Linked DNA regions of Macaca fascicularis. Each later gene encodes a partner of the first gene's protein in a complex. Links are inferred from orthologs where the notes say so. Each region holds a gene or a part of one and is shown on either strand. Other genes may lie near its edges.

What was found. The genes of interacting proteins can lie anywhere in the genome.
Region 2: TAF12 (region 1) and TAF7 share a complex: the UniProt entries of both Homo sapiens proteins name them as parts of the TFIID basal transcription factor complex. The link is inferred for Macaca fascicularis from reciprocal best matches to the Homo sapiens genes TAF12 and TAF7.
Region 3: TAF12 (region 1) and TAF11 share a complex: the UniProt entries of both Homo sapiens proteins name them as parts of the TFIID basal transcription factor complex. The link is inferred for Macaca fascicularis from reciprocal best matches to the Homo sapiens genes TAF12 and TAF11.

Annotation. Positions count from the first base shown.
Region 1 is NC_088375.1:206,387,987-206,392,353, reverse strand, and holds the start of TAF12 (transcription initiation factor TFIID subunit 12), read right to left. Parts: upstream 3,085-4,367; 5' UTR 2,902-3,084; exon of another isoform or gene 2,637-2,901; intron 1-2,636. UniProt on the Homo sapiens protein: The TFIID basal transcription factor complex plays a major role in the initiation of RNA polymerase II (Pol II)-dependent transcription.
Region 2 is NC_088380.1:147,784,260-147,788,879, reverse strand, and holds TAF7 (transcription initiation factor TFIID subunit 7), read left to right. Parts: upstream 1-1,532; 5' UTR 1,533-2,263; coding exon 2,264-3,313; 3' UTR 3,314-3,819; downstream 3,820-4,620. UniProt on the Homo sapiens protein: The TFIID basal transcription factor complex plays a major role in the initiation of RNA polymerase II (Pol II)-dependent transcription.
Region 3 is NC_088378.1:136,805,217-136,809,890, reverse strand, and holds the start of TAF11 (transcription initiation factor TFIID subunit 11), read right to left. Parts: upstream 3,102-4,674; 5' UTR 3,017-3,101; coding exon 2,846-3,016; intron 1-2,845. Other genes in the region: ANKS1A (ankyrin repeat and SAM domain-containing protein 1A), read left to right, coding at 4,468-4,655. UniProt on the Homo sapiens protein: The TFIID basal transcription factor complex plays a major role in the initiation of RNA polymerase II (Pol II)-dependent transcription.

The sequences.
Region 1 (4,367 bases):
CTATTTTGCTGATGGACAAACTGAGACAGAGGAATCCACTTAGAAGAGAAGAAAAAAGTTTTAGAGGCACGCGTAACTGGGGTTGGGTCACTCAGTACTGTGTGATTTCAGGCAAAGTATTTATTTTTTTTATTATTATTTTTTTTTATTATTTTTTTTTTTTTTGAGACGGAGTCTTGCTCTGTCACCCAGGCTGGAGTGCAGTGGCCGGATCTCAGCTCACTGCAAGCTCCGCCTCCCGGGTTTACGCCATTCTCCTGCCTCAGCCTCCCCAGTAGCTGGGACTACAGGCGCCCGCCACCTCGCCCGGCTATTTTTTTGTATTTTTTAGTAGAGACGGGGTTTCACCGTGTTAGCCGGGATCGTCTCTCGATCTCCTGACCTCGTGATCTGCCCGTCTCGGCCTCCCAAAGTGCTGGGATTACAGGCTTGAGCCACCGCGCCCGGCCCAGGCAAAGTATTTAACCTCTCTAAACCTATTTCATTATCTGTACAACGAGACTGACAATATCTAACTTGTGGGGCTGTGATAATTAAATCATAGAATACTCAAAAGTACCTAAGCTGTGCCTGGTTAGTCTGAGTAGGTTTCAGAAAAAGATATTAATATTGAAGTAAGTGACTGGTGCAAGTCTCCCCACCATTCTTATCCAAAAGCAGCCATCCCTAGTAAATGTTTGCACTAAAAATGCAGGACACACTTATTTATGGCTTTCCAAACAGCTTATTAAATAAATAAATAAATAACACTGAGCTTTATTTAAAGGTTCCAGCCAGGTGCAGTGGCTCATGCCTATAATCCCAACATTCTGGGATATCAAGGTGGGAGAATCACTTGAGGACAAGAATTCAACACCAGCCTAGGCAACACAGCCAAACACCGTCTCTACAAAAAAACTTAAAAATTAGCTGGGTGTAGTGGCTCATACCTGTAGTCCCAGCTACCCAGGAGGCTGAGGCAGGAGGAGTGCTTGAGCTCAAGAATATAGGTTGCAGTGAGCTATGATGATGCCACTGCACTCCAATATGGGCAACAAAACAAGACCCTGTCTCAAAAATATAAAAATAAAAATAAAGGTTTCCTTACTATTAAGTGACATTTACTGTATCAATGTCAATGCAGTAATAACACTCAAAGTATCAGAAACTGTAAAAATTTCCAGTTTTTACTGGAAATAAAAACTGGGCCAGGCGTGGTGGCTCATGTCTATAATCCCAGCACTTCGGGAGGCTGAGGTGGGCAGATCACTTTAGGTCAGGAGTTCGAAACCAGCCTGGCCAACATGGTAAAACCCTGTCTCTACTAAAAATACAAAAATTAGCTGGGCATTGTAGCACACACCTGTAATTCCAGCTACTTGAGAGGCTGAGGCAGGAGAATCTTTTGAACCGGGGAAGCAGAGATTGCAGTGAGCTGAGATCGTGCCACTGCACGCCAGCCTGGGTGACTCTGTCTCAAAAAAAGAAAACTGGAAGCGGGGGGAAGTGACTCATGCCTGCAATCCCAGCACTCTGGGAGACCAAGGTGGGAGGATCACTTGAGCCTAGGAGTTTGAGACCAGCCTGGGCAACATAGTGAGATCCTGTTTCTACAAAAAATTTAAAAATTAGCAGGGTGTGGAGGCACATGCCTGTAGTTCCAGCTACTCAGGAGGTATATATAGGTGGGAAGATTGCTTGAGCCTAGGAGGTTGACGTGCATGGTGCCAAGATTGAGCCACTGCACTTCAGCCTGGGCAACAGAGAGAGAACCTGTCTCAAAAAAAAAAAAAAAAAAAAAAAAAAAAAAAAAAAAAATTCCCTCCTGAGTTTGAAGATAAAGCAAAGATTCTGGAAGCATTTAAGGAACATTAACCAAGCATCTCATTTGCTACGCACAGAAGGGTACTGTATTAAAATTATGATCTAACCATTGCCTCACTGTAATCCTAAACCTCTTTGAACCTTAGCCTCCTTAAATGTAAAATAGGAGTTTTTAAAAGATGATCTTTTGGGACTCTTCCATCACTGACATTCTTTTACTTGAGATGCAGAGATCTGTGCTCATTCAGGGTTGAGTGGAATGGGATTTAAAGCACTTATCAAGTATATAACTGAGTTCCAACTGTTTTCAACTTCACATCTGATTCCCAAGAATGAAGCAGAAAATGAAGATGTTTGCATGTGGGCTTCCTAGATTGAGTATCTAACACAAGAAAAGCCTGCCAAGAGCCAAGCAGGCAGTGCGAAGGAGAAGTTGTCTTCCCCTGAATACGTCCTTTATCTCTCTGGGTTCAGGGAATACTGTGGAAAAAAAAATGGATCACTAAATATTTTCCAAACCCTTTCCCTTTACTTTCTAGGCTGATCTCACATCCATGGTCCCTTAGATCCAAGGCTTTTAGGAGCTTGGGTCCTCACCGCCCTGTTCTGAGACTCAGGTACTCGGAGTCTCAAAGCCCGGATCCCGTCCCCAAAGAAGCCCCAGTCTTCACTGCCCGCTTCTGTTCCCTTCCAAACTCAAGTTTTCTCTGTCTGCTTCTGCCCCTCAGGAACCTGAGTCTTCGCTGCCCCGTTTCTGAATCCTTAGGAGGCCGGGTCTTCACTGTCCCGCTTCTGCCTCTTAGAAGCCCAAGTCCTCACCGCTCCACTTTTACCTCTCCGGAGCCCGTGTCTTCACACCCCGTTCCTTTCCGACCCTCTCCTCGTAGGAGTGCGGGTCCTCATAATCCTGCTCCTCTCAGACCACTTTCCCTCAGATGCCGGAGAACTCAGATCCGTCCCCGTTCCCTAAGTCCCGTCTTGGAGCCCAGGTCCCCACAGCCGCGTCTTCTCCGAGCCTGATCCTCTGTCAGTCCCTTCCCAAGAGCCTGAATCCTCACAGCCCCGTCTCGTCCACAACCTGGTCCTTCGAACACTGACCTACTGTAGATCTGGGTCCTGACTCCCTCCTCCCGCTCTTGTTCCTCAACTGCCAGGGCCCAAGACTCACAGGCAGCAGCGTCTATCTCCCCATGATATGCGGAGACTGCCCCAGAGAAGCGTTCGTCTCAGCAGCCGGTCCGACTGCGCGGCCCTCCCCGACTACTTCCGGCACCGCTCCCCGCCTCCAACCCGGAAACGCGCGGCTCTTCCGGCCGGCGGGCGCGCGCCTCGCTTGCGCAGGCGCAGACTGCCCTCCGACACGTGGTGGCGATCTTGAGCTGTGTGTAGCTGTAGCCTGCAGCTTGCGCTTTTAACTGCTTGTAGTTGAGTGGCAGCATGAGCGAGCTCTGCGTATTCCACCCCGGCGTTAAGAATCCTTCACTAGCTTTTCTTCCCGACTCTGCTTATTTATCCATCGGTAGCATGACGGGTAATTGACGCCCTCGGATGGCTTTGAGGTCGCCATTTTTGGTTGGTGCCTTTGTCATGGTGTCAGGACCAGGATATCATCTGGGACACATTACCCCACAGGTATCCTGTTGAACCTCAACGAGGAAGTTGGCAACACAGGAACCGGGAGATGAGACAGATCGGTTGGTTGTGCCTGTGAACTGGCAATTCAGTAATAACAATTGACTGCTGACTGTTTGCCAGGAATTGTGCTAATCGGCTTACCTCCGTTACGCCATTTAATCAGTTAGAGGAGACCTGTGAGAGATTAAGCAAAATTCTAGCTAATAAGTGCAGAGCCTCAGCTTGAACTCAGACCTCACTACTAAGCCAAAGCCTATCCTGTAGCATTCTCTACAGGACAGTTTTTTGCTGTCAAATGCTTGGTGAGAATTGCTTTTATGTGGCTCACGCCTGTGATCCCAGCACTTTGGGAGGCCGAGGCGGGTGGATCACGAGGTCAGGAGTTCAAGACCAGCCTTGCCAAGATGGTGAAACCCCGTCTCTACTAAAAATACAAAACAATTAGCCGGGCGTGGTGGCACGCGTCTGTAATCGCTACTCCGGAGGCTGAAGCAGAGAACTGCTTAAACCTGGAGGGGCGGAGGTTGCAGTGAGCCGAGATCGCGCCACTGCACTCCGGCCTGGGTGACAGAGCGAGACTCTGTCTCAAAAAAAAAAAGAGAGAACTGTTATTTTTTACTGTATGCTGGAATGTTAGGTATGCAAGTCAGACCCAGTTCCAGCATCTGTAAGGTTCACAGTAAAATGGAGAAGAACCCACAAACACACCAAAAAATGTATAAAGAGCTGTGGGCCGGGCGCGGTGGCTCAAGCCTGTAATCCCAGCACTTTGGGAGGCCGAGACGGGCGGATCACAAGGTCAGGAGATTGAGACCATCCTGGCGAACACGGTGAAACCCCGTCTCTACTAAAAATACATAAAAAAACTAGCCGGGCGAGGTGGTGGGCGCCTGTAATCCCAGCTACTCGGGAGGCTGAGGCAGGAGAAT
Region 2 (4,620 bases), on another chromosome or scaffold:
CTATCTCATTTTAAAGTGACAAAGAATGTATTTTCTCTCACAAATCACTACAGCATTTAAGACTATGATCTTTCTAGATAGATCAATTTTTTCATTCAATTAGCAAATATTTTTTGTGTATCTCCCATGTTCTGGTACTAGGCACTGGGACACAATGACCAGGATAGAAAAAGATCACTATCATGGAGCTTTCAATCATACAGGAATAAAGTGAATTTTGGAAATGTTAATTACATCTTAAGAGAATTCTCTTAAATTTAGGGGCAATTGGTAATATTTTAGAGGATAGAAATTAAATGTTAATGGCCTTGATGCTCTACCAGATATTTTAAAAATAAATGGAAATAAATAGAAATAAGTACCAACTGTTACCCAGTTATGTCAAAATACTAAAAATATGTGTTGATGAATACCTGACCCTCCAAAGAAAAGACAAGCACAAAACAGCAAAATAGTAGAGGTGGAGTTAAAAAAAAAGTCAAAGTATTTAAAATTACTTGTACATGAGAAGCAGGAAACAATACTTCAATTATGTCTACTTTAACCAGATGCTCAGTCTATCAGACAATTCTGTCCAAAATGAACCTGTGCTTGCAGAAGAACACTTCCTTCTCTGCTTACATTTACATCTAAATCAAGCATATAAAAAGGAATCACCCTTGTTTCCTCAGGAGTATTACAGAACAGAAGGAAACCCAGAGGCACAATTCCCCTACAGGGAATTATATTAAACAAAATATAGACTTTGGGCCAGGCACGGTGGCTCACACCTATAATCCCAGTACTTTGGGAGGCCAAGACAGGCAAATCACCTCAGGTCAGGAGTTGGAGACCAGCCTGGCCAACATGGTGAAACCCCTTCTCTACTAAAAATACCAAACTTAGCTGGGGTAGTGGAAGGTGCCTGTAATCCCAGCTACTCAAGAGGCTGAGGCAGGAGAATCGCTTGAACCCTGGAGGTGCAGATTGCAGTGAGCCAATATTGTGCCACTACACTCAAGCCTGGGTGACAGCCTAGACTCCATTTCCAAAACAAACAAACAAACAAACAAAGAGAGGTTTAGAATTATATAGTGAGCTCCATGTCCTCCTCACTCCACTGATTTGGGTTCTTTAAAATCCATTGTATAGTAGCTACACATTCTTGTATTGGCACCAGATTGGCTAGACCCTAGGAAGCATCCGAGATGTTTCCAGAAGCAAAGACGCTTACTGCCAGGCGTCCCCCATCTCCCGGAATCACCCGGAAGTCTAGAAGCCATCCGGCCCCACAGCGATCCCTTAAAAGTGCTGGCTTAGCGGGGGACGAATCCGTGTCTTTCTTGTAACTTCCAAGCGCTAAATAGTTTGAAACCAACAGCTCTTCGAAAACACTATCATTTTCATCCTAGAAAAGCAAGTTCTCGCGAAAAGACGAGTTTCACGCTGGGCAGCGTAATTGCGCTATTGCGCCTGCGCGCGCCGGGGCTCCGCCCTTCCGGCCGGAGGGGCTGTCACTCACATCCACCTCCCGCCCCGCGTCGTGACGTAGCACTTCCGTTTTCTCTGGGCAAGCGGTCGAACGGAGGGCCGGCGAGGTGCCGGGTCTGGTTCTCCGAGCTGCGCCTCTCGGCAAGATTTCGCGTTGCCCATCCTGGGCTTTCATCAGTAATCGATAGTGGATCACTCTGCCAAGCGGCAGGAAGAATTAAGGAAACGACAAGGAGACGCTTGGCTGCCTCCCGCTTTGCTCCTTGCGGCCTCCTCTTCCCTTCGCTCCGGCCCGGTGAAACTGAACTTATAATCGTCACTGGATTGTAAGTACCCGAGGCGAAGAGAGCTCACTGAGCCCTGATGTTTTGAGTGTCTGTTCCGGGAGAGTTTGTAAATTGAGAGTATCTCTGCTGGCCTTTCTGGGCCGAAAACCGTTCCGCGGGAGCCGCCATTTGCTTTCCTGCTTCCTAGCTAGGTAGCTGTCTCCGCGTTGTCGGGCAGCGGCACCTAGAGGTTGGGACTTGGCATTGCATCTGATTTAATGAACTTAAGTCTGTGAATAAGCCTTTGTGTTAACGACTGGTATTTGGTCACAGCATATTTAGAGAAAAGACTTGGAGCTTAAATAAAAACGAAGGCAAAATAGACGCTAAGCTGCTGATCTACAGAGAACTTCTTGTAATTAAAATATTTCAATTCATAGCGAACTGGTGTTTTAAATTATTGCAGTAGCTGGAACTTTTTACGGTAACCATCATTTATTGGAGAAGTGAGTCACAAAGAAATAAAAATGAGTAAAAGCAAAGATGATGCTCCTCACGAACTGGAGAGCCAGTTTATCTTACGTCTGCCTCCAGAATATGCCTCTACTGTGAGAAGAGCAGTACAGTCTGGTCATGTCAACCTCAAGGACAGACTGACAATTGAGTTACATCCTGATGGGCGTCATGGAATCGTCAGAGTGGACCGTGTTCCATTGGCCTCAAAATTGGTAGACCTGCCCTGTGTTATGGAAAGCTTGAAAACCATTGATAAGAAAACCTTTTACAAGACAGCTGATATCTGTCAGATGCTTGTATCCACAGTTGATGGTGATCTCTATCCACCTGTGGAGGAGCCAGTTGCTAGCACTGATCCTAAAGCAAGCAAGAAAAAGGATAAGGACAAAGAGAAAAAGTTTATCTGGAACCACGGAATTACTCTGCCTCTGAAGAATGTCAGGAAGAGAAGGTTCCGGAAGACAGCAAAGAAGAAATATATTGAATCTCCAGATGTGGAAAAAGAAGTGAAACGATTGCTGAGTACAGATGCTGAAGCTGTTAGTACTCGGTGGGAAATAATTGCTGAAGATGAAACAAAGGAGGCAGAAAATCAAGGCCTGGATATCTCTTCTCCAGGAATGTCTGGTCACAGGCAGGGCCATGACTCATTAGAACATGATGAGCTTCGGGAGATATTCAATGACCTCAGCAGCAGCAGTGAGGATGAAGATGAGACCCAGCATCAAGATGAAGAAGATATAAACATCATTGACACTGAGGAAGATCTGGAGAGACAACTACAGGACAAGCTAAATGAATCAGATGAACAGCACCAGGAAAATGAGGGAACCAATCAGCTGGTTATGGGAATTCAGAAGCAGATTGACAACATGAAAGGCAAGCTCCAAGAGACCCAGGACAGGGCAAAACGACAAGAGGATCTCATCATGAAAGTGGAAAATCTGGCTCTCAAGAACAGATTTCAGGCTGTACTGGATGAGCTCAAACAAAAGGAAGACCGAGAAAAGGAGCAACTCAGCTCTTTGCAAGAAGAGCTAGAATCACTCCTAGAGAAGTAAAAAGAACTGATTCTTAATTTCAGTGTTCAGACTGATCAGCATTAGAAAATTCTTGGCTTTATTACTTGTACTGGATATTAACACCTTGCACTTCCTAGTCCCTCTAATGCTGTGTGTTCTGTTAAGTTCTTTCATTTGTTTATAGTTTTGTTTTTCAGCAAATTTACATTGTTTTGCTAGGTGTTCATCCTATAAGAAGCAGGATTGTATAGGCAGAAAAATGATAGTAGGAAAGTTGCAGGATTAGTGGAATGTATGGTTCAACCTTAATTATAGCTCCACTGCAGGACTTTGCTGTTTCTCCATTTTCTAGAAGCTGCTGTTGCTGCCTTATGATGACATGAGATCAATAAGAAGAACCTAGTCTAGAGACAGTGATGCTAGTTTGCATATGTTTTCCCATGCAATAGCTGTTTTCCCAGTTACTCAAAGCAGTTTCCCATATGTAGAGATGCAAATTTTATTAAGTTGTTTACAATACAATAAATAAAAGCATCTGTTTTTCACTTTGTAGTGTATCTTGTTCTTTCATGGTTGGTGGGAGTCAGGTCCCTTTTGAGGTGGTTTTGTGGTGGAGTTTAGTGACTAAGAAATTTGATCCAGTTCTGCAGGTAGAGGCAGTTTGGTTTATGAAAAAAAGCAACACAGCAGGGGTAAAGAAATTGGGAATTGTCATGTTTGCATCATATTAAGATTCCAGTTCTATCTGATCTACTTGAAAGCTGGGAAACATTAGATACAGAGCTTTCTTAAACTACCCTAATTTTTGTAGATGAAGGCCTTCGTGCCTTTTTTAAAAAGCTTACTAAATCTACCTGCACAAAATGTTGGAAACAAAGCAGTGGTTATCAAGTGCAGTCCAATGAATCATTCCATTGGTTTGGATTAAGATTTTATTTCTATTTTTCTTCAGTTGAGTTCTTATAATTAATAATCTGAGAACTGAGGTCATTTATCAATGTCATTTCATCAAAATTGCTCATAAAGTAAGTCGGTACCAAATTTCTCATGCTTTAAAGATAATCTAATGCCTCACAACATGAGCTATTTTTGAAAAATCAGTTACTGATAAAAGAGGTAGAGTTGTATGCAATTTGTTTCTGACAGGTTGGTTTATGAGAAGCTTGGGTTTGAAAATAAAGTCCTTTTTTTTTTTTTTTTTTTTTTTTGAGATGGAGTCTAGCTCTGTCGCCCAGGCTGGAGTGCAGTGGCACGATCTCAGCTCACTGCAAGCTCCGCTTCCTGGGTTCACACCATTCTCCTGCCTCAGCCTCCCGAGTAGGGACTACAGGTGCCCACCACCACGC
Region 3 (4,674 bases), on another chromosome or scaffold:
TTTCTCAGATTTTCCCATTTATTTGGCCTAAACTTGAACATTAAATGTTTTTATAGCTTTAAAGATCTCCATATTAGTGCCTATAGCCTTTCATATTTTCTAATGTACATTTACATTTTAAGTAATCAGGTTTTAATTTTATCATTTATGTTTTTTAATGTGCTAATTCATTAGTGTCTACTTGTATCCTTATTAACTCCTTGTTCCTACACTCTTCTGATTTATTTTGTTCTTTATCTGTTGTTTGTTTGTTTGTTTGTTTTTTCCCCAGACTCACTCTGTTGCCCAGGCTGGATCATAGCTCACTGCAGCCTCAAGTGATCCTCCCGTGTCAGCCTGCCAGGTAGCTAGGTCTGTAGGTGTGACCTACTCCACTAGGCCCTTTATCTGGTCTCTTGAGTCAGGTGCTTATTTGCAGTATCTTCTGGTTGTTAATAAAAATATGTAAGGCTATACATTTTTCTTTAAATAAAGCTTTGGCCAAATCCCATATCATTTGATAAAGTGTTCTGTTAATTTCTTTAGTCTAAAGGCTATTTAAAAAATAGTTTAAAATTTCCAGGGGGTTCTTTTTTGGTGGGGGAGAAGCTTTTTGTAGTTAATTTCAAGTTTAATGCATTGCATTAACAAGATGTGGCCTGTTATGATATCTACTTTTAAGAATTCATATTTTTCTTCATGGTCTAGTACATGATTGATTTTTAAAAGTGTTTCAGAAACAACATAATTTTATCCTCTGTTCGGTGCAAATTTATATATGTAGTGAGCTCTCTAGTGTACCAAGCTAATTATTCAAATCCTTGCTGTCCTTGACACCTGTTTTAAAGTTTCCTTCTTGGCCAGGCATGGTGGCTCCCACCTGTAATCTTAGCACTTTGGGAGGCTGAGGCGGAAGGATTACTTCAGCCCAGTGAGTTGGAGACCAGACTGGGCAATATAATGAGACCTTGTCTCTACCAAAACAATATTTAAAAAACCTTTAGCTGGCCAGGTGCGGTGGCTCATGCCTATAATCCCAGAACTTTGGGAGGCTGAGGCAGATGGATCATGACGTCAGGAGTTCAAGACCAGCCTGCGCAACTTGGTGAAACCTTGGCTCTACTAAAAATACAAAAATTAGCTGGGCACAGTGGCACGTGCCTGTAATCCCAGTTACTGGGGAGGCTGAGGCAGGAGAATCACTTGAGCCTGGGAGGCGGAGGTTGCAGTAGGCCGAGATTGCGCCATTGCACTCCAGCCTGGGCAACAGAGCGAGACTCCGTCTCAAAAACGAAACAAAACAAAACAAAACAATACAAAAACTTCAGCTGAGCGTGGTGCAGTATGCTTGCAATCCCAGTTACTGCGGAGGCTGAGATAAGAGGGTTGCTTGAGCCCAGGAGGCAGAGACTGTGCCACTGCACTCCAGGCTGGGTGACAGAGTGAGACCTTGTCTCAACAAACCAACAAAAACTGCCTTAAAGGAGCTTGCAGTGAGCCGAGATCGCGCCACTGCACATTCCAGCCTGGGTGACAGAGCGAGTACTCAGTCTCAAAAACAAAAACAAAAACAAAAAAAGAAACCTGCCTTAAAATACTTTTGTCAAATGTTCTCTTTTTCTTTTTTTCGAGACGGAGTTTCACTCTGGCACCCAAGCTGGTGTGCAGTGGTGCGATCTCGGCTCACTGCAACCTCTGCCTCCCAGGTTCAAGCGATTCTTGTGCCTCAGCCTCCTAAGTAGCCGGGATTACAGGCGCCTGCCACCATGCCCAGCTAATTTTTGTATTTTTAGTAGAGACAGGGTTTCCCCATATTGGGGATCTCCTGACCTCAGGCGATCCACCCACCTCCGCCTCCCAAAGATTACAGGCGTGAGCCACTGCACCCGGCCAAATTTTCTCTTTTTCTAAAAGTTCTTACTTTATATATTTTTATGCAACTTTATACACTGAAAGGCTATTTCCATCTAATCTACTGTTCACCCCACGATCTCTTAAATCCCTTCTAGCTCTAAGACCCCAAGATTCTACTTCCAGAAATGTAATCCAGAGAACGATGAGTTTCTGGTCCTGACCAATGTTCAGCTAGGCAACACTGCTGAACTCTCTGTAGCATAAAAACACCAGACCCAACTGATGGGTCCCTGATCACCGGGTGCTGTGGCTCACACCTGTAATCCCAGCACTTTGGGAGGCCGAGGCGGACGGATCACGAGGTCAGGGGTTCGAGACCAGCCTGGCCAACATGGTAAAACCCCGTCTCTAATAAAAATACAAAAATTAGCCGGGCATGGTGGTGTGAGCCTGTAATCCCAGCTACTTGGGAGGCTGAAGCAAGAGAATCGCGTGAACCCGGGAGGCGGAGGTTGCAGTGAGCCAGAGATCGCGCCATTGTACTACAGCCCGGGCGACACTTTTATAAAAGTCTATCTCCCTTTGACAGGTTTGATCGACCCTCCTTCCTATAAAGAAACAAAGTTGTCTTAACATCTAAGACGAACCATATTGCGGTGAAAGGGGTGCTACGAATCCTGGGTTTTAGCTCTTGCACTGCGTCTCAGTGTGACACTGGATCCCAGTTTCCTCACCACTAAAGCCAATAGGCTATTAAAACTCCCTTAGAAGTAGCTTTAATCCCTTGACAAGACTAAAAATATTAACGCAGTGCTTGAGCCTCTGGAACGGAACCAGCACTGGAGTTCTGTTTGGTCGTCCGCTCTCTTCCCCCTCAAGATTAACGATCTGGAGGGAGTTCTGGTGAGTTCGAGTTCTCGTAACTTGGGAGGGACTAACCAGAAGCCCGGCAAGCACCCAGTAACACGATCTCTGGGTATTCCTTCAGCCTCATCGATACATCTCTTCCTACCTCGCCTTCCTCCGCTGCAGCTTCTTTCAAGTCCGCATCTGCGTCTCCGTCAGTTTCCTCTGGGATTCCATCCGTGTCGGTAGCCCCCGGGTCCCCGGACGCAGCGGCCGTCTCATCCGACTCCCCTGTCTCTCCACCTTTGTCGGAGGGCGACTCGCGGGCATCGTCCATCACGGATAGGATTGGAGGGGAGAGGAGATCGCGGCGATGTCTGAGGCAGAAGCTCGGAACCCCGAGCTGCACAGGACAGTATCTTACTTCCTGTCGTCGCGCAGCGATGACATCACCCCTACCGCTCTCCTGAGGGGTCATTTTGAGGCGCGCGTAGAGGACTAGAGGACTCATTTTAACTTTGGTTTGGCGACAGTGGGAAGCGGGAAAATTGGACGTAAAGAGCTCAGACTATGGATCCTCCTAGCTAGGAAACCAGCACTTGTGAAGGAGCGCAGTTTTGTTTACTAAATAACTTTTTCCTTTTCGCCTGTCTAAAAATTCAATACCAGTTAATCCCTTCGTTAACCCCTCAGAGTAAAGTTGGGGGATCGGGAGAAAACTCAGTTCCGTTGTATGGCGGTGTCGTGGAATGAGGCTACCCGGGATTGGTAAACTTTCAGGCAAGACTCAACCTTGTGTATTTCAACTGGCCCGAAACCGCGGGTCTGTGTGTACGTGGAATTGCTAGCATTTCCGCTCCATTCAGCAAGCACCTTAACAACAAAAAGTCATCTAGCTTGAGCAGAATTTATCCAATTCATTTATTCATCCACAACTATTGACTGCGTACTTCGATTTAGAAACAGTGCTAGTACCAGGGAACAAAACACACATAGTTTCTATCCAATTAAATGATTTTTTTTCAGTTCGCAAGTATTCAAGATTGAGGTTTGTTTCTACAAGTCTGACACTTTTCTATCATTTTGGTTAATCTTACCAAAACTAAGAGGAAAGCCTAAAGAGAGGAAGGTGTCTCCTTCGAACGTTTCACTTTAACGAACTAGTTCATGTACTGGGAGGATGAAGTGGTGAGGATATTTCTATTTTAAAATTTTCTTCTCTTCCCTCATAGAGATACGAGGGGGAGGGCGTTTTATTCACCTGGGTATGACTAGGTCCCAGCACCTATTACATATTTAATTTATGCGTGCTTAAAGAATGTCCTTGGAAATGTAGGTGCGCGTTACCATATTTATCTCTTTGTTTCTGCGCTGCCTGGACGAATTGCCGTATTTCCTGTCCCAGGAGCTCCCAAAACGTTTAGGGAAGGAGCGCACTTCGGGAGGCGCGTACAGGTGGGCCTGTTTGTCCCTTTCCACCTATATAATGGGGACCCACAAGGCGCTGTCCCCATAACCCGTGAGGCCTGTCTCGGCACAGCAAAATCCACCTGCGCTGGTCCGCGGAGCCCCGCCCAGCTAGGTGAGCTAGGGGGCGGGGCGCGGGGGCGCGGTGACGCGTGACGCCGGATCCCGGAAGTGACGCGCTCGTGGAGAAAAGGCAGGGAGGGGGGGTGGTGTCCCCAGCCGGTTTGGGGGGTGCGTTGCCCGGAGACGGAAAGTTTGGGAGCCCGAGCAGGCTCGGCTGCAGCCCCGGGGAGGGGGGTCCAGCGGGTGGCGGCCCTGGGGATGGGGAAGGAGCAGGAGCTGCTGGAGGCGGCCCGCACCGGGCACCTCCCGGCGGTGGAGAAGCTGCTGTCCGGGAAGCGGCTCTCCTCTGGCTTTGGGGGCGGCGGCGGCGGCGGCGGCGGCGGCTCTGGGGGCGGCGGCGGCGGCGGCCTCGGCTCTTCCAGCCACCCCCTCTCCAGTCTGCTCAGGTGGGTACGCGCCGGGGCC